Linked DNA regions of Drosophila melanogaster. The protein of the gene in region 3 purifies or fractionates together with the protein of the main gene of each other region. This does not show direct contact. Each region holds a gene or a part of one and is shown on either strand. Other genes may lie near its edges.

Evidence for each region. The genes of interacting proteins can lie anywhere in the genome.
Region 1: the proteins of CG18747 (region 3) and CG14995 purify together in Drosophila melanogaster (affinity purification with mass spectrometry, with the first as the bait; one large-scale study listed by BioGRID). This does not show direct contact.
Region 2: the proteins of CG18747 (region 3) and CG8547 purify together in Drosophila melanogaster (affinity purification with mass spectrometry, with the first as the bait; one large-scale study listed by BioGRID). This does not show direct contact.

What each region holds. Positions count from the first base shown.
Region 1 is NT_037436.4:4,099,920-4,104,479, forward strand, and holds the start of CG14995 (uncharacterized protein), read right to left. Parts: upstream 3,042-4,560; 5' UTR 1,638-3,041; coding exon 1,558-1,637; intron 1,296-1,557; exon of another isoform or gene 1,262-1,295; coding exon of another isoform or gene 1,077-1,261; intron 927-1,076; coding exon 861-926; intron 1-860. Other genes in the region: Fit1 (fermitin 1), read left to right, coding at 4,341-4,560.
Region 2 is NT_033778.4:14,261,879-14,269,568, forward strand, and holds the start of CG8547 (uncharacterized protein), read right to left. Parts: upstream 6,042-7,690; 5' UTR 5,821-6,041; intron 5,620-5,820; exon of another isoform or gene 5,461-5,619; intron 2,338-5,460; 5' UTR 2,320-2,337; coding exon 2,251-2,319; intron 2,186-2,250; coding exon 1,986-2,185; intron 1,918-1,985; coding exon 1,712-1,917; intron 1,652-1,711; coding exon 597-1,651; intron 294-596; coding exon 102-293; intron 43-101; coding exon 1-42. Other genes in the region: Sps1 (selenophosphate synthetase 1), read right to left, coding at 7,088-7,690.
Region 3 is NT_033777.3:7,780,343-7,785,142, forward strand, and holds CG18747 (uncharacterized protein), read right to left. Parts: upstream 3,105-4,800; 5' UTR 3,060-3,104; coding exon 2,945-3,059; intron 2,473-2,944; coding exon 2,344-2,472; intron 2,287-2,343; coding exon 2,054-2,286; intron 1,809-2,053; coding exon 1,214-1,808; intron 833-1,213; coding exon 648-832; 3' UTR 542-647; downstream 1-541. Other genes in the region: CG18745 (uncharacterized protein), read right to left, coding at 3,600-3,856, 3,922-4,495, 4,563-4,774.

The DNA.
Region 1 (4,560 bases), on a different chromosome or scaffold from region 3:
TTTCTGTTTAAGGTGCGATATCTACAACTTCAATACCATAATTATAGCTTCCTGTTCACTGGGTCGACATATTATTCGCTTCATCTGAAATAGCTGATTCGCCCATACCTAAATTATTATTTCCTGTTATTCTCACGGTTCTTTTCCCCTAAGTTCAATGCCAAATCTCCCTATAAGGCCACGAACTCTTGTATATATGCACCTCCATCTATATCTGTTTTATGCATAATTAAACGAATCGCAAGAGTCGAGAGTTTTCAGCACATTGCCAACAGATGACAGAAGTTTTTGGGGGGGTGAAATGGATTTCGGCGACCTTGGCAGTCAAAATGATTGTCGCCTTTTATGGCAAAAGTGGCGAAATCAGCAAAAGCAGCAGCAGCAGCAGCAGCACATGCAAACTTATCGAGCGACATGCAAGTACAACAAGTATCCAGCAGTACCAGATGAGGTACAAGGCACAGCGAGATACAAAAGTATCTAGCAGATACGAGTCATAACTATAGTATCTGCCCACTACGCAGTGTGGCCTACGCGACTTGGAAAAGTACGCGGCCAGTTGCTATTGCCAATTTGGGAGCTCCCACGACTTTTAGCTTATTTTCTGTAGTTTTCTGCGTCCCCAGCTTTTTGCATTAATTACGCGCTTGAGCGTGCCAAAGTATCTTTCGTATTTGAGCTTGCCTAATGATGGGGCGATGACATCACTGGAAAGCAAATATCTCGCTAGCTTTTTAATATATATATCTCTACCGCATTCTCTCGGCGGCGAGCCGCACACTTTGTATCAATCAAAAGGCACCGAGTCAGGAAATCAAAATGATCCTTATAGAAGAAATATTTCACGACTTGTGACTTACCTAAGAGCCAGAACTTCCACTCCACGCATTCGCTTGATGATGGACACATCGCTGAGATCACTGCCCCTGAAATAAGCACAGAATAGATGGCATTTTAATAAAGATAAATAATGTACAGTGGAGCCCTCTTAGCAGGCAACACGCTTATCGCAGATGGGTCAAGAGTTGGGGGCCCATCACGGAAAGTAGTTCAACTGCTTTTCACGCTTTTCCAACCGTTTTTCTCGAGGGGCGCGTGTTTTTCCAGTCCAGGAAATCGTGACTCGCTCCAAAGTGGACACTTCTAAACTGGTTAGAAGATTGCCCCTGGAATTGGGTCGAGTGAAAGCAGCCGGAGCGACCGAAGTGAGCAGCAAAGTGGGCAGATCCCCCAAACCCCAGACACCAGATCGCAGACCCATTCAACACAGATCGAAGCTTTCACTATAGTGGCTGCACCTGCCCCAGCACGATTAGCAATAGATCAATGCACAGGCGAAAATTAGATCGAAAATCGATGAAATTAACAGTGGGTTGAGTCTGAACAATAATAAACAATTAGTCGTCCTAACTTTGCTAAAGCATGATTAATATGCCGCTGACTAAAAATTTACAAACAATCTAGTTATTGCACTAATGCAAGCATTCCTTTCGTTATTCAGTATGATATGATGATATATTCTATAAATATTTCTAGTTATTTGGGCTGTCTACTTACCAGCAATTTAGCTTTTTGATCAGGGACAAATCGGATTGCTTGGCCCGCGCTATCACCATTTCCTCGGTGAGTCTCGACATTGTGTGTACTTGTGGCTGTGATGGTGATGGTGATGATGATGGCGATGCTGTTGCTCCAACTGGTGTTCAACTGACCCGTGGCCACAGGTGTGCCACTTGCAGATTCCGGCTATATAATGATTGTGTATTCACAGCCGATGGTTAAACGCGTATTTACTATAAGCCGCTTGTGAATGCCCAATTTTAGATGCCGAGAGGTGAGCAACAATGCAGTACAGTGAAATAGCTACAACAGGTTATGCCTTGTTGTGGTAAATAATTTCGTTTTTGCTTTTGCTGCTATTATTGTTGTAATCACTGGCGTGTCGTAGGCGTTGCTTTGTTGTTGCTGCAATTTGTTGTAATTACGTATGTCTTCCAGTCTTCAAGTTGCTCTGAGTTCGGGTTTATCAACCGCTTAATGTTGGTGTATTTGCTGTAGTGTGGCTCCTTTCCACAGCTACAATATTCGTTAATTGCCAAAAACGTTAGGATTTATCGTTAAGGGACCGAACAAAATGAAAATTTCTTGTGCTTTTCGGTTTTTTTCAACTGACTAAAATTTCGATGCTAGACTGCTGTTTTGCTATTGTATCTGATGTTTTGTATCTCGAATCTCCTGCATGGATGAATAAGCCGCTCGGGTTGTTGCGCCGCGCTTTTTTTTATTATTGTTACGAGTATGTATATGAACGTAACACACCGCTTAACTACACTATGTATATGTGTGTAACTCAATTGTTGCTTTCATTCTGTGGTACGGGAGTTTGTCAAATTTTTACATTGCTGCATCGATTTTTTCGTGCCGAGATGTTTTTGTCCGAGAACTTGTGGGTGTGTGTCTTATTTCGAATTTCTTAACGATATGACTATTTGAAAAACCCTGGGCCGGCACTTTCAATTCGAAACTGACAGTAGTACGCGCAGCTAACTTGATTAAACGAAATTCCGACTTTTTCAGTTCCGATTTTCCTATTTTCCATGCACCGTTTTTCGTATCTCGCTCTCTTACAGGTATGTGTGTATGGGCACGCGAAAGTGTATGGGTGGGTGCCAGAGCGAGAAAGCAGAGACGCGCGTGTTTTACACAATACTGCACTATTATACACTATTAGTTGTTTTTTCGAATACGTGCGCTCGGCTCAACGGCGAAAAACAATCTGGGGGCTTTGAGGCCTCTTTAGCCGTTCAACTGGAGCTTTCATTGTCTTTGTTTACGAATGCGGTGTGGAGAAAAAGAGCGGAAAGAGCGAAACAGCGAGAGAGGAGGAGAAAAACCAGTATTGTTTTTATATATGCATGTACTTTTGCTTTATAACAAATTAGTTAACTGGAACATGCGTTAATTTAAATTGATATTCATAATAGCAGATTTGCTTTCTACTAAAATTATTAAAACAACAGAACTATATTTTTCGTTACGATAACTTAGAGATGACCATTGGGCCGGTGTGACCCCCATTTCTGGAAAAAAATAAATATCGATACACTTTTCATATTTGTACCCTCATTTTAAAATATGTGCTTACTGTTAACATGTGGTTACGTTAATAATGTTTCGGCCTTTGATATTTTTGCTTAGTATTAATATGACAGTTCCTTTCTCGTCCTGGGCCACAGGTACGTATGGAATAAGCCAATTCGAAGAAATAAATGAGGAACAATAGTGCCAATCTCCACGACTTCATTGTTCTTTGCCTGTCCGATATTATGATACAATACAATTGATACAATACAATAGATTGCCATACACAAATTCGTTTCAAGTCGAATACGAATTATATTAAATCATGCGAATCTAATGTATTAGGTATGCCCTATCCACGGTTCAATTGTGAAAGTAGAATTTATAAGAATGTATGGTGGTTAATATCTCTTGCAGTAAGTTTAATAACAAAAAACTAAGCACGAGAATTAACGGTAAATGGTATTGCTTAATTTTCGATGTAATTTTTAACAAAATTTAAACTATACTTCTTACCATCCGTTCCGATAAGTTCGATTTCGCTGGCGCGAACCATCGATATGCGCAGACAAACGGTCATACTGCTCTGCTGCTGGTTTATTTATAAATTAATTTCTCTCTATCTCGGCTCGTTCGCTTTGTCTCGTCGCCCGCGACGTGTTGTTTTGTGAAAATTTGCATCGCATTTTTGAGCGCGTGCATTAGTGTTCGTCGGTGTGTTGATGTGCGAGGAAAAGAGCGAGGAAAACGCTGCGAATTGCGATTGCTAGAGAGATCGGGAAAACAAAACATCCCAAGCAGCAGCAAGCAAGCCATCAAAATCGTAACCTTGGGCGTGTGTTAATCAAGTGATCCGTACATCCCCGCCTCTCCCCCCCTTTTATCATCATACATACCACCACCATCTCTACATCCAACGATTTTGATCTGGATTACTCGGCTTGTTGGATTGTTGGGTCTGTTTCGCTGGCGTTTCTGTTTCCGTGCAAACATCTGGCGAGATAAGGGCCTATATAGTTTCGCCACCGCCACAGTCGCAGTCCCCCCCTCTCCGCTCCCCGCCAGCCAACGACAACGACAAGAACAACAAAAACTTGGTTGCAAAAACGGTGCTGAACGTAAGTTGAATTACGTCATCGTTTCGAGGGCAAATTTAGACTCTGATTGTGCCATATATATACACTATACAAATATACCCGCAGTTATAGTTTCGCCTTTGGACAGAAGAGACGCCCGCGCATCGGAACTTTTAGCGAAAGATGATTCATGTGGGCGAAAATACGTGGAACCTGCGGATCCTCATCACGGATCTGCAGGTGGAGAAGACGCTGCGCGTGAAGGGTGACCAGCACATTGGCGGCGTAATGCTGAACCTGGTGGATCCGGAGTTGCCCAAGGATTGGTCCGATCACGCCCTGTGGTGGCCCGCCAAGAATATCTGGCTGACCAGGACGCGGTCCACTTTGGACCAGGCCGGAG
Region 2 (7,690 bases), on a different chromosome or scaffold from region 3:
GGACTCGTACTCGTACATTCCGGATCCCTTGGCCCAGCGACCCTGTGGATGTAGGATTATCAGTTGGGCATATTCCACCTTGGTAAGTATCCAATACTCACGCCTGAGGCAGATCCAGCATGCATCTCCTCGCGCTTCATGACGATGGTGTCGTGTCCGGGTGGATAGTACACCTCTTTTCCCGCCTTGTTCACCGATGGCACATGCTGTTGGTTGGGCGAGGCAACCGCCGTCTCGATTTCACGCTTGCGCACTGGAGTCTCAATGTCCACGCGATCCACATGGTCGGTGGTCTAAGATATAGAGTAGATACGGAGTCAAATCAAAGATCATAAAAATCACTGCCAAGTATAAGTAATTATGATACCATTAAAATGATAAATGTGTTATCTTTATCTAACTGAGGTATTATGAGTTCATACGAAAGTATTCTCTAACTACCAGTTTTTTGGCATTGCGATAACGACTTTCGTTCTAATCGGTTTCACCAAGTTATTAGTGGCTTAATTACTGACTTGCAAACAAGAAGCTATTACTGATTAGTTTTTAAACAAACAGAAATTGGAAAGTAACTTCAGTATACTTCAAATACTTACAGTTCCGAATGACTGCATCAGATCGTCCACTCGCTGGGGAGGATTGCTATTCACTGGATACTCCACGCCATCCACGGGGAATGGAGATGGCGAGCCGTAGTCCGGGCCACGTCGGTTGTTTGTGTTGGTGGTCGAGGAGTATTTGTAGCTGTAAGTGGTCGAATTCGGTGGATAACCATTTCCATTTGGTGGCTGCTGTGGATACGCGTTGTTGGGCGGCAGCTGTTTCAGCGGAGCGGACTGAGGTAGACCCGGCTCGTAAGGTCCACCGTTCGGCGGTCCGTGGATGCTATTGACCGTGTTCGAGGTCTCCGTCTCCTTGTAGTAGTAGCGATTCACTCCCGGCTGTAGTGGTGGACTGTGTGGTCCTCCGTAGTTGGGACTGTGAGCCGGACTGCGCGGCGGATAGCGCTGCTGTGGTGGCAGCTCGTTGACTGTGTTGACGTGATCCGTCTTGTGGATGTTGTAGATGACCGTACGATTGCCCGGTGGAGTTCCCGCCGGACCCGATCCCAAAGGTAGTTGACGGGGCTGTGGGCTCACGCCGCGAGTGGTGGTCTCCTTGTGCTCTCTGATCTCGTACGACTGGTTGCTAACCACCGGACGATCGCTGTTCCGGTTCAACGTGGAGTAGCTCTCAGTGTTGTAAACCACCGTCTGTGGCACATGGCTAGGCTGTGGGTGCGGAACGGGCGACAGCTGCGAGAAGTTCTGACTGGAGTTGTGGCTTTCGTGGTGCTTGTAGGTGCTGCTCAGCGTATTCGAGTTGTTCAGCGTGTGGGTGCGGTTAATGGTGCTGGTGTTGCTGCCGGGACCAGTGGCCGGGATCTCATAGGTGTAGGTCCTCACCGTGGTGGTCACCTTGGTGCCTGGGGCAGGCAGGATGCCATCGCCCAGAGCGATGTCCTGCAGCTCCTTGTCAATGGTGGTGCCGCTGGTCAAAGTCTGATGTGTGCTGCTCGTTGCAGGCAGCAGCTCCACATTGTTGTTAATGGTGCGATTGCTTTCGTAGATCTTCGACTTGCTCTCGTAGTGTCCACCACTGGGGGAGTGGGCTGAAATCGTATAAGATTTTAGTTTAAGTGGTGCCACTGGATATGCTCTTTAACTCTTACCCAGAGTATAGGGCTTGTCCTTGGTCTGGAACTCGTCCCTCTTCAAGCTGGAGTACTTGGCCGTGGACTGCAGGGTGCTGTAGTCGGTGGGACTGAAGGTCTCCACATCATCAATAAATGGCTGCTGGCCACCGGTGCCCGAGTGCTTGCTGGTCTTGACCACTCGCGTAGTCCTCGTTACGGTGCCCGAGGGATCAGTGCGTTCACTACACCAAAACATCAAAACATTAATCCTTGTAAAGTTACTACAATTTGAGATCGTGTGCAAACTTACAGTGTCCTATAAGTGGTTCCATTGCTGGGCAGCAGATCGCGTTCCCTGTTGGTAATCTGTCGTTCCTGCTTCAGATCCTCCAACAAGGCATCCAATTGATCTATGTTCTGGTCGGGGGATTTGCCCTGATACGAGACATTGTTGTCGCCAGAACTCGAGTATTGATAGGATGACTTCTTATAGGCGTAGTTCTTGTCGTTCTGAGGAATTAATGGTGACGTATGAGTGATTTACTAACCGATGTGGACCATAAATCAAGGCTTACCCTGCCCCATTTCGAGGGCTTGTCCCGCAACGAGGATGAGTAATTTTCCGAACTGCTCGAGTACTGCATTTCCAATTAGTTTTTTAGCTGAAACGGAAACCAGTATCATTCATAAATTATTCAAATTCTACGTGTGAGTAAATCAAACGACTCGTGGGTGTCTGACACGTAATCACGGATTCCGACCCCGAATAGCAGGTTGATTTCGCGTCAAGGCGGTTCGCCAGAATCCCAAGCATTTTTCCCCACCCACGCCAATGTCGATTTTCGAACATGGCCGCATTCGCCACTCTGAAGTGAGAACTTTTGGCGCATTAATGGAAGCTTAAGTCATCTGAAGTGGGCATCACTTGAGCACACAAAGTATGGAATGCCAATTCACAATGGATGCGATGAACAGACGGAGCCTGTCATGCGAAGATGAAATGCTCTAGAAAGCGGCGGAGATGGTTGTTAAGGGCCAGTCCTTACAGAACTTAAGTCTACTTGGTAAAGCTGGGCTGTCCATCAACCACTAGCTACCAACTTGAAAAATATTTAAACTATAGTCTTGATTTGAGAATTCCGTGGTTTTAACCTATATTAAAATATACATATCAGATTAGATTGTTATGATAATATCGTTATCTGACAAACGAAACCGTTTATTATCATGAAAATCCATATTTTCCATCATAATTAATCTTGTTATATAAATGCTTATATTGGCTATATAAAAATATAGTTTTATTATATGGAGTATTAATCGCTATCAGTGAGTTTTTCTGTAGTTTAAACTATAATATTAGGTGGATGTTATGGCTATAAATTTCCATGTTCATATTTACAATAATCGATACAAATTTATTTGTCAGTTCACAAGCTTTTAATTTGAACAATAAATTTACACAACCTTGAAGTTTCAAGGCAAAGTATTAATAATAAATGTGTTATCTTTTAATAGCATATACCCATTTTGAGGACCTTAAAATAATAATACCCTTTGGCAGAGAAACCAAAAATGCTGGCATTGATTTTCAGAACTGACAAACAGGCAAAAAAACCAAAAAACAGACAGAGGCACAAAGTCGAAATTTCAATGTCAAACTGGTTTTCACTTTCGGCAACGTGTCCTTAAACTCCTTTTTAGTCTGTATATATAGATACATGTATGAATGCAGTTTTTTTCTCGATTTTCAGAGATAACCTTGGAGTGAGAGATAGTCGGAGATGATGCAAAAATCCGAGAAGGATGACCGACTACCGACTACCGACGATGATGTCATAAGACGACGCTTTGTGACAGCAACTGCATTAAACGTCAACGCAAATTGGAGCTTAAGTAATCAAATCAAGGCGAGCTAAATAAATCACCTTTGAATGGAAATGGATGAAGGGGGGGGGGGTGTATGGGGGTCGAGGGATGCCACATGCCATATGGTCAACGGAATACAGCTAATAAAGAAATAAAGCTACATAAAACACAAATAATAATGCCTCACGTCAGACAAACACACACATAAAATAGCCCAATAGAATATAGATAAAAGGCCAAATCTAATTGATGCCGCCGCCACCTCCAACGAAACCTCCCCCCCACTTCCCCCACAACCCGCCCACTACTATATACGCACGCTATATAGCTCGGTTCCCCCGATCTCAGCACGTTTTTAGCAGTTCTCTGGGCCTCCGATTGGCGACGAAAACAAAAACAAACACAAATGACCGGAGAGCGGAGAGCATGGTTTGTTTTTGCATATGTATACACAGGCAGCTCAGAAATGATCTCATATACTGGGGGGTTTGGAGCTCTGGGGAGCAAAAACATGTTGCTGTCTGTCTGGCGATCGGAATTAACCCGTTGAGGCATTACACGCCATTTTAGCATGCTGGGTTAGTTTTGCAGTTTTATGAATGAAAATCTTTGCAATTATGAATTTTGCTCAGTTTAAGCAAAGTTTATTTTATAAAGATAACGCCCGCTTTCCAAGTATTCTACTTAAGGCCAACTTAATATTAGCCAACTATCTTTATAAGGCTCGAGAAAGTTTGCCAGCGATGAGAAACTTAACTTAATTGTGTTTCTAACAAGGAACAAACTAATCAATTACATTTTTCGAAAAATGTATTCTGATATTTCCATTTTATTAAGATAAACCATTATAAGGTTCAATGCATAAAGTACAAAAAATCTACAAATAACTTTACTTATCTCACGCAAATTCTTCTCAAACGTAAACATTTATCTTAAAAGGTGGGATGTTTGTTATGAATCACAGATTGAAATATGGAAAAATAGCAATTTTGAAAATAGGTGTTTCAACAGAAAATTCTGAGAACTTTATGGCATTGTGTTGATTTAACGCATTACAAATGAGTTGTTTTTGAGATTATAAATCTAAATTAAAATGGTTAAAAAATTTGTTTGGTATGCCGGTTAAATCATCACTTCAAAATAGATATGCAAAGGAAAAAATGTTGAAAAGACGCGATTTTCCAAAAGAATTGGAGAAGATGCCTTCGCTTTGGGTTAAGCCAATCAAGTGGGCGTGGCTGCGCAAAGGGGAAGCGAGAGTGCTGATCACAGATCACCAAATGCCATATAGCATACGTAGGCAATAGCAAACAAACTCGTAAAATAAACAAATATCGAGCTAACAACAAGTTTGAAATGGCCAAAATAAAAAGCGAAGGTGTTGTCGTCGTCGCTGGCGTTCTGTTGTTGAAATTTCCGAAAATCAAATATCAAAACGTAGGCGAAATCTAACGTCTATATATGCGCCAGGCATGTATCATTATCTATATGTAGATATGTTTATGTTCGTTCTACCAGCGGTGCGAGTGTGTTGCGTATCTGTGTGTCGAGTTGCCAATTTGTGGCACCCACACACAAGGCGAACACCGAAAACAATACACGAGTTCAAGTCAGGCGGACATAAACAAGCTGTAGACGCCGTTTGAACTTGGCTAAATTAAACGAAAGTTTAGTGAGCGTACGATTCGGATACAGATGCAAAGATACACAGATACATTTACTGGGCGAGCAAAGTCTTTTCGACTTTTCGACTTTTCGCTTTTTGCCGAGCCATTTTATTTCGTATTTTTTTTTTTTTTTCTCATTTTCGTCGGTTGGTATATGAAAACAAATAATTCTATTTTTAGTTCACTGCCACTGTTCTTTCAATTTGAATACTGCGCCGTTCCGTCGGGAAATAAATCGAGTGTACGTACGAGTGCCCACCGTACATGAATCATCTGGCCACGAAGAGATACACAAGGAATAGCGATCCGCCAGATACATCGCTACATGGTCGAGGAGGATGCGTTTTCGAATTTCACTTCAAAAAGCGAGTACTTCCACGTTCATGTAAGGCAGCGACTACAGCAACTGCCACTGCCACTGCGACCACGACCACGACACGTAGGGAAAACTAGTTTCTAACTGCGGTTTTTGAGCTCGTCTTCCAAACACCAAACACCGAACAGCAAAGAGCCCCAACAGCCCACACACTATCTACATATGTATCTTTCTATCTATCGACGTTTGTATCGCTATGTGGCTCTGTATGTACAAATACTTGCAGCACTCACTGTGCACTTTTCCAAAACTCCAAAAACGCAACGTACGTCCAAGTACAGTTCAATTGGGGAGGGAAAATCTCTTCGTTGTGCGGGAAATTCGTTGGTCAGTGTATTAGTGTTCGATCGCTCCCAGCACAAAAGTGTAACGGTGCGCGCAGTGTAAGTTTCTCGTTGTGTTTACGATTCGGATGCGGATCTTAACGCGTCGCTAGCTCGGGCGGTACTGAGGCCCACGATCCGCACTTGCCACCAGCGATCCCGATCCCCACCAGTGCGATCCGATCCCATCCGATGGCAACTTGCCGGAGACCTGTTCGCACGAGAGCATCTCTCGCTCGGTTTTGGTTTTTAGAGCTTGCAAAGCTTTTCGCTCTCCGCAACTAATGCCGATTGATCGAACAATAGAGGTTAGGAGGTTAGGGTATCTGATAACCCATGCTAAATTCTCCTCAACAAATCAACGTCCTTTAAATGTCTCTTTAAATGTCCATGTTTCCGAAATTCACTCTCAAACTTATCATAACCAATTAATTTTCAAATGAAGTTCAGTTCAAAATGATCATATTTTTAGTAAGAATATTCCTGTACTCAAACATGTTTTAAACTATCTGAAGGTACTATCAGCACACGTATCTAAATGAGATACATGACACTTCTTTTTGCTGGCTTGGTACTTGACAATTACTTTCCTGATAACCCGCTCCCAAGTTTGAACTGCGAAACAAAGCTTAACGATTAAAATTCACTTAAACCTCCAACAATTTGACTTTCAAAACGCGTGCTGATTTCATAAGCATGCGACTGTAAACTAAAATCAGCAAGCAAATTTAAAATTTACACCAGCTGAGTTTTTAGCCTCAAAGCGCAGGTGCACTAACTAAACAAAAATAAATGTGACTTCTACAACTTATTTAGTGGGTTAAATAAGTCGATTAAATTCTCAACACACAACTGTTCAAAATGTATGCGATTCCGAAGATGCTCCACTTTTTGCCAAACTGTGAGCTGTAATTTAATAACAAAGTTGACTGGAAAAAGCTCATTCAGATGCCCCGCATTCCAATTACTCGATACAAAAGATTCAAGTGTTTTCATTTTATTCACTCGTATTGCAGTAGAGACGTCCAAGATTATAATGATCAGTGAATCTGTAGTTGATAAGCTTTTTTATAAAAAACAAAGACCGATCATGCCGGTTACAACTGAATGTAGCAGCCGTTACGTTAATATTAAGATACTTAAGGTAGACAATAGCAGATGGTCAGGCAATGGAGACCTAGTCCTTGGCGGGCACCTCAATGACGCGGGGCTTGTCGATGATGCGTGCGGTCTTATTGCCCTTCTCAACGATGCCGATGATCCAGGCCTGGTAGCCCTCCTGCTTCTCGATGTCCTTGCAATAAGCAGCGGCCTGCTCTCGCGGCAGGCAGATCAGTAATCCTCCCGAGGTCTCCGCCGAGTGGCCCTGCAGCAGCTGGAACATGTTGCCGCAGGCTTTGGCCACTGCAGCCATCTTGGCGATCACCGGCAGATTGTGGATAACAAAGGAGACATCCTTTTTCTGATGTGCAGCCAGGGTTTGAGCGTGGCCTAGTAGTCCGAATCCAGTAATATCGGTGGCTCCGTGGGCATTGTACTTGTGCATGAGGCGAGCGGCTACGCGGTTGAGGCGAGCCATAGAGTTCATCGCCCGGTGGTAGGCCTTGCGTACATCTTCTTCGGACACCACCAGCTTAATGCGGTTCCAGCGCTCCGGCTGGTCAATCCACTGGTGGGCATTCACGGCCACTTGGGTGCCCAGTGGCTTGGTTAGCACCAGTACATCCCCTACCACGGCATTATCTGGCACAATATACTCATTTGGCTGGCAAATGGTCGA
Region 3 (4,800 bases):
ACCTCGAAATGTAAGTTATTTGTAAGTTACAAAATACTTCTTACATAGCAGTAAGGATACATTGTTCGGTTTTCTTTGTATATTAACAGCATACACAGTACAGGATATTATAGAATGTAACTTTCACGTTATCTACCAATTATTTCTTACCTCGTAATGTAAGTTATTTGCAGTAAGAATACATTTTTCGGTTTCCTCTGTATATTACATCAAAATATATTACATACTGAAAAGTGTACTTAAATGAATTATTTCTAATTCTTATTCCTACCTATTTATTATTGTCTGTAAAGTTAGCTCTTGCAATATTTACTATAACAGCACAATTTAGAAAGTAAGGATAATGTATAACCAGAAGCTAAATTTATAGTTGCACTGAAGAATGTATTGTTAAAAATTATATTATTTAATACTGTACTTTACAGTAATATTTATACTGTAACATACAAGTTTTTAGAATATTTCGCGCTGTAATGTAAGATGTAAAGTGAGAGGAGGGTCAAAGGTATCTTAAGAGTACAAATAAATTGAGTACTGTATGGACATTTAAATAAGTTTATTTTTTTTGGTTTTTGGTCTACAATGAATCCAATCAAGTATTGCCAATTGAAACATCTTAGTGATAAGTTTTTCAAAATTAAAATGCTCTATTTGACAAAACTTTGGTTGACGAATCCCGCATTCCGGGCGTTTGCCGTGAGCACGGGCGTAGGACTAGGTATACTATACACGGGATAAAGTGGAGCAAACTCATTGCTCCCGAAGGCATGTAGTTCCTCTTCGTTGATATTGCCCCGCTGAGTGTGACGGGACTCCTCATAATTGGGGAGCGCTGTAAAGTAGAAGAATAACGTGGTTTAGTAAACATAACTATTATAAATAAAATATAAAGTAAGTTATACTACCCATGCAAGCTTTTCTTATCGTTTAAATTTAAAAATATTTGTTAATCTGGAAATAAGTTTCGCACCTTTTCTTCTACTCAAAGTGACTATATAAGCCGTAATACATTATTTATTATTTTCTTTTGAACTTTTGTTAGCCATTTTATTATTACCTAGTAATGGCACTTGAAGCTTGCGTTTGGCATATGTTTTGAAAGTATAGGCGATGTCTACAAAAACTTCGTGCTCAGTTCGTTAAAGAATTTGATAAGATTGCAGTCAATCATTACAAGTTCATTGGCACGTAGACTGCAAAATCATGATCTCACCTGAATCAGCAGCACTGGATGCCAGGTCGCTGGGCAAGCTCTCAAGTGCGGTAACCATGGGTAGCTCGTCGGGAGGATTCCTTCTGGAATCCGGTCCTTCGTAGTGGGCGCTCCGCCGGGGAGGTTGTTGAACCACAATGCCCGAAACCGCCAGAGGAATGGTGCCAACGGTAACCGGCATGACCATCAGCTGTTGTTCGCGTAGACTCTTAACCAACGCCTCAACCTCCAGTTGGTAGGCGATCTGGATGAGGTTGCTCAACTCCACGCAGGTGGGCGGCGTTGAGGGTACGGGCAAATCGATGGTCTGGGATCGGGTGCACTGCTTCAGCACCGATTCCCCCTTAGCTCGCGATATTATTAATCGCTCCACTCGAGAGTGTTCAGGACTGACGCTGTAGTATCTCACCAGCATTACCAGAGAGAGTCGGATTTCGGAGACGGCTACGGCAGTGTTGTTGACTACCACAATGGTCACGGGAATCTTCTGGCCAGGAACGTAGCCTGCTTGTGGAAGGTGCAGCTCCAGTTTTAAAGGATCCGTCTTGCATGGACCACAGCAAAAGGTGCGGTAACCCTCGCTGTGGGCAGCGGACTGTAATGGATGAATCGATACGATATAATTAACCTAAATATAATTTTTGTATCACTATAACACCGAATCATTTGAATTATCATTATCTTAGTATGATTACTTTGAATCCACAAGTAAAATATAACTATAGTTCATTAAAAGTACCTAAAATGTCTGTACGTCTTCAACTTAAAAAAAGTCATTTTAAGTGTATTATGAAGTATTTTATATTTCACAAAATACATCATTGCTAGTTGCATACTAACCTTTAGCTGGGGAGTGTCAAAGTTGAGATCCAGCATCTTGAGAACCGTGAAGCCCTTTGTGTAGGCCTGATCGAACTTCCACGGTCTGATCAGCAGGACTTTCACTATATAGCGGATGCATCCATGGCGACCCTCAAAGGACGAGGGGCATTGATAGGGCAGCTGGCAGGTGAAGTTGTAGCTGTGAACCCCAGCCTCAATAGTGAGTCTGTGAGTGTTGTTGTGAGTGTTGTCTTTTTTGGGAGATAAAATTGTTTATAAAAGCAAACATCTTTGAGGTTTCTACTCACTTTGCTCGGAACCCACGAGATAAGTATTTGATGATAGATAATCCTCCCGGCCCACGTAGAGTTTTGTCGAGCCCAGACTCTTTTCGCTCCACTTGGTTATAGAATATCCGACTACCTTGAGCAGCACAGCTGCGATTTAAGAGAAAATAAAGAAAAGAGTTAGGATATAGTGTTATCATGGTGTCTATATAATCTGTTAATAAAGTTGGGAGTGCACAATATAGTTAAGCCAATTCTAATCTCAACTGAACTGTTATAAATACTTGAGGAGAATTTAAATATTGTCAGTAAAATCAAAATATTCCTTATATAATTCAAAATAAATTTTGCGATGGGCCTAACCTTCCTCCTAATCACGTTATTAAAATAATACCAAAGCAAAGCCACTTCAAAGTGTTATCAATCAACCGAACACATTCCGCGTCTAAGAATGTCCGCTAAATTCAGTGTCGTCATAAAAATATACAATTTCTACATACACACACATCGTTATCGAGCAAATATTTATAATACTGCCGCTAGGAAGAGCTAACTTCAAGAAATTAGCCGAACTTCTGGGATTTGTTTTCAATGTAGTTTATTAAACGTTTACTATAATTACCTTGAACCTCCTTGGACCTGTCACATTTAAGGGTCGCGCATCCTTTTACCAGCTGACCGGCGTAGAAAGTACCATGTTTATTATTATCGAAGCTGATCTCACACGTAACAACCATTTTTCCCAAGATTAAATGTCCGAGCGCGAAAAAGCTAAAACCGATGTTATGGGGCAACTCACTGCGACTAATTTAAGTACAAAACTTCTGGACTGCTTGCGGTGCGACCGCGTCGTTAGATAAGCGATAAGAACCATAACTTGGACCCGATGTCGGATTCGGATTTCACCGGGAACGATACGGAATCGTAGTCCAAACTGTATAAGAGTCGATAATAAGTTCCCTTGCGAACTACTCGGACGTTCACTTGGGGTTTTCGGTCTGTTATCAGAGTTGGTTGTCGAGACCTTGGCACTGGGGAAGTTATTGCCAGCATTCATCGAGGGGTTTTCAAGAGGAAAGAAAAGCGTCGTGTTTGAAAATCTTAGACTACATATGGTAATATATATATAATTTCGAATAATTTCAAAAATCGCTCCACCCTGTACCAGTCTTGGAATTGTGATAAAATGTTTATTATAAAGTGTTAGGTGGAACTTTTGCCTTGTGTGCAAATGCTTTATCGCCCTTACATTTCTAGTATAGTATTTATTTTCGTTCTCATAGCCACGTTCCCTTGTCTTTGTCCACATCCATGGCCGGATTGACAAAGGCCCTCTCTGCCATATAATTCTGCGTATAATCCGTCGGCGGCGGAGCTGAGGGACTGGGTATGTCGAAGACCGGATAGAGTGGCTTATAAGCACCGCCATCCAAACTGAGAGTATTGGGCGGTACTGGTTCCGGGTCGTCTAAGTCGTCTGACCTCGTTGCAGCCGTGCTGCGCATGTGAACAGCCTCCTGATAGTTGGGCGGAGCTAAAAACACCAACAAAAAACATAAATTGATACTGTAATTAGTTTATGGATTCTAGTAAACTCACGAATGGATGCGTCGACAGACCATGGACTTGAAGAGTTTGGAGCAGTGGCTACTTCTTCAACAGCCAGCTCATTAACATTCAGCTGGGGGACGAAACCCCGAGGCTGGATTGGTACGTGTTGTGCAAGAGGGACACTGCCAATGGTCAGCGGAATGGTGACAACCTCGTTGTTGTGGCAACCCTTCACCCTGGCCTCCACCTCCACTTGGTAGGCGATCTGGATGATGCCGCACAGGTTGAAGCAGGTGGGCGGAGTGGCCGGGACTCTGATCTCATAGCTAAATAGCTTCTTGCAGTTCCTTTGCACAGCGTCCCCCTTGAAGGTGTTTACCACCAACCTCTCGGACGTGGTATTGGGCATCGAAGGTGGCTTACTGTGGTATGTCACCAGCATCACAAAACTAATGAGGAGCTGCTCCACCGGAATGTGGCTATCGTTTGTGACCAGCACGCTAAGGGGAACATTCTGGCCAGGTACAAATCCTGTCTGTGGAACGGTCAGTTGGAGGGCCAACGGATCTGATCGGCAAGGCCAGCAGCAGTAGGTCTTCGAGGTTTCACTGTGGGCGGGTACCTACATAACATATTCAATTAGCTTAGGTTCTAACAGATATGTATTCGTGTTTGATTTTGATTCGTACCCTTAGCAGTGGACTATCGAAGTTCAAGTCCATCACTTTTAGCACCGTAAAGCATCGGGTATAGCTCTGATCGAATTTCCAGGGCCTGACGAGGGTTACGGTTGCCATGTACCGCACCCTGCCGTGTGATCCCTCGAAGGACGAAGGACATTCGGTGGGAATCAGGCACACGAAGTTGTAAGTGTGAATTCCCGCTTCAATGGATACTTGGCCTGCAGATATGATTAGCAATTAGATG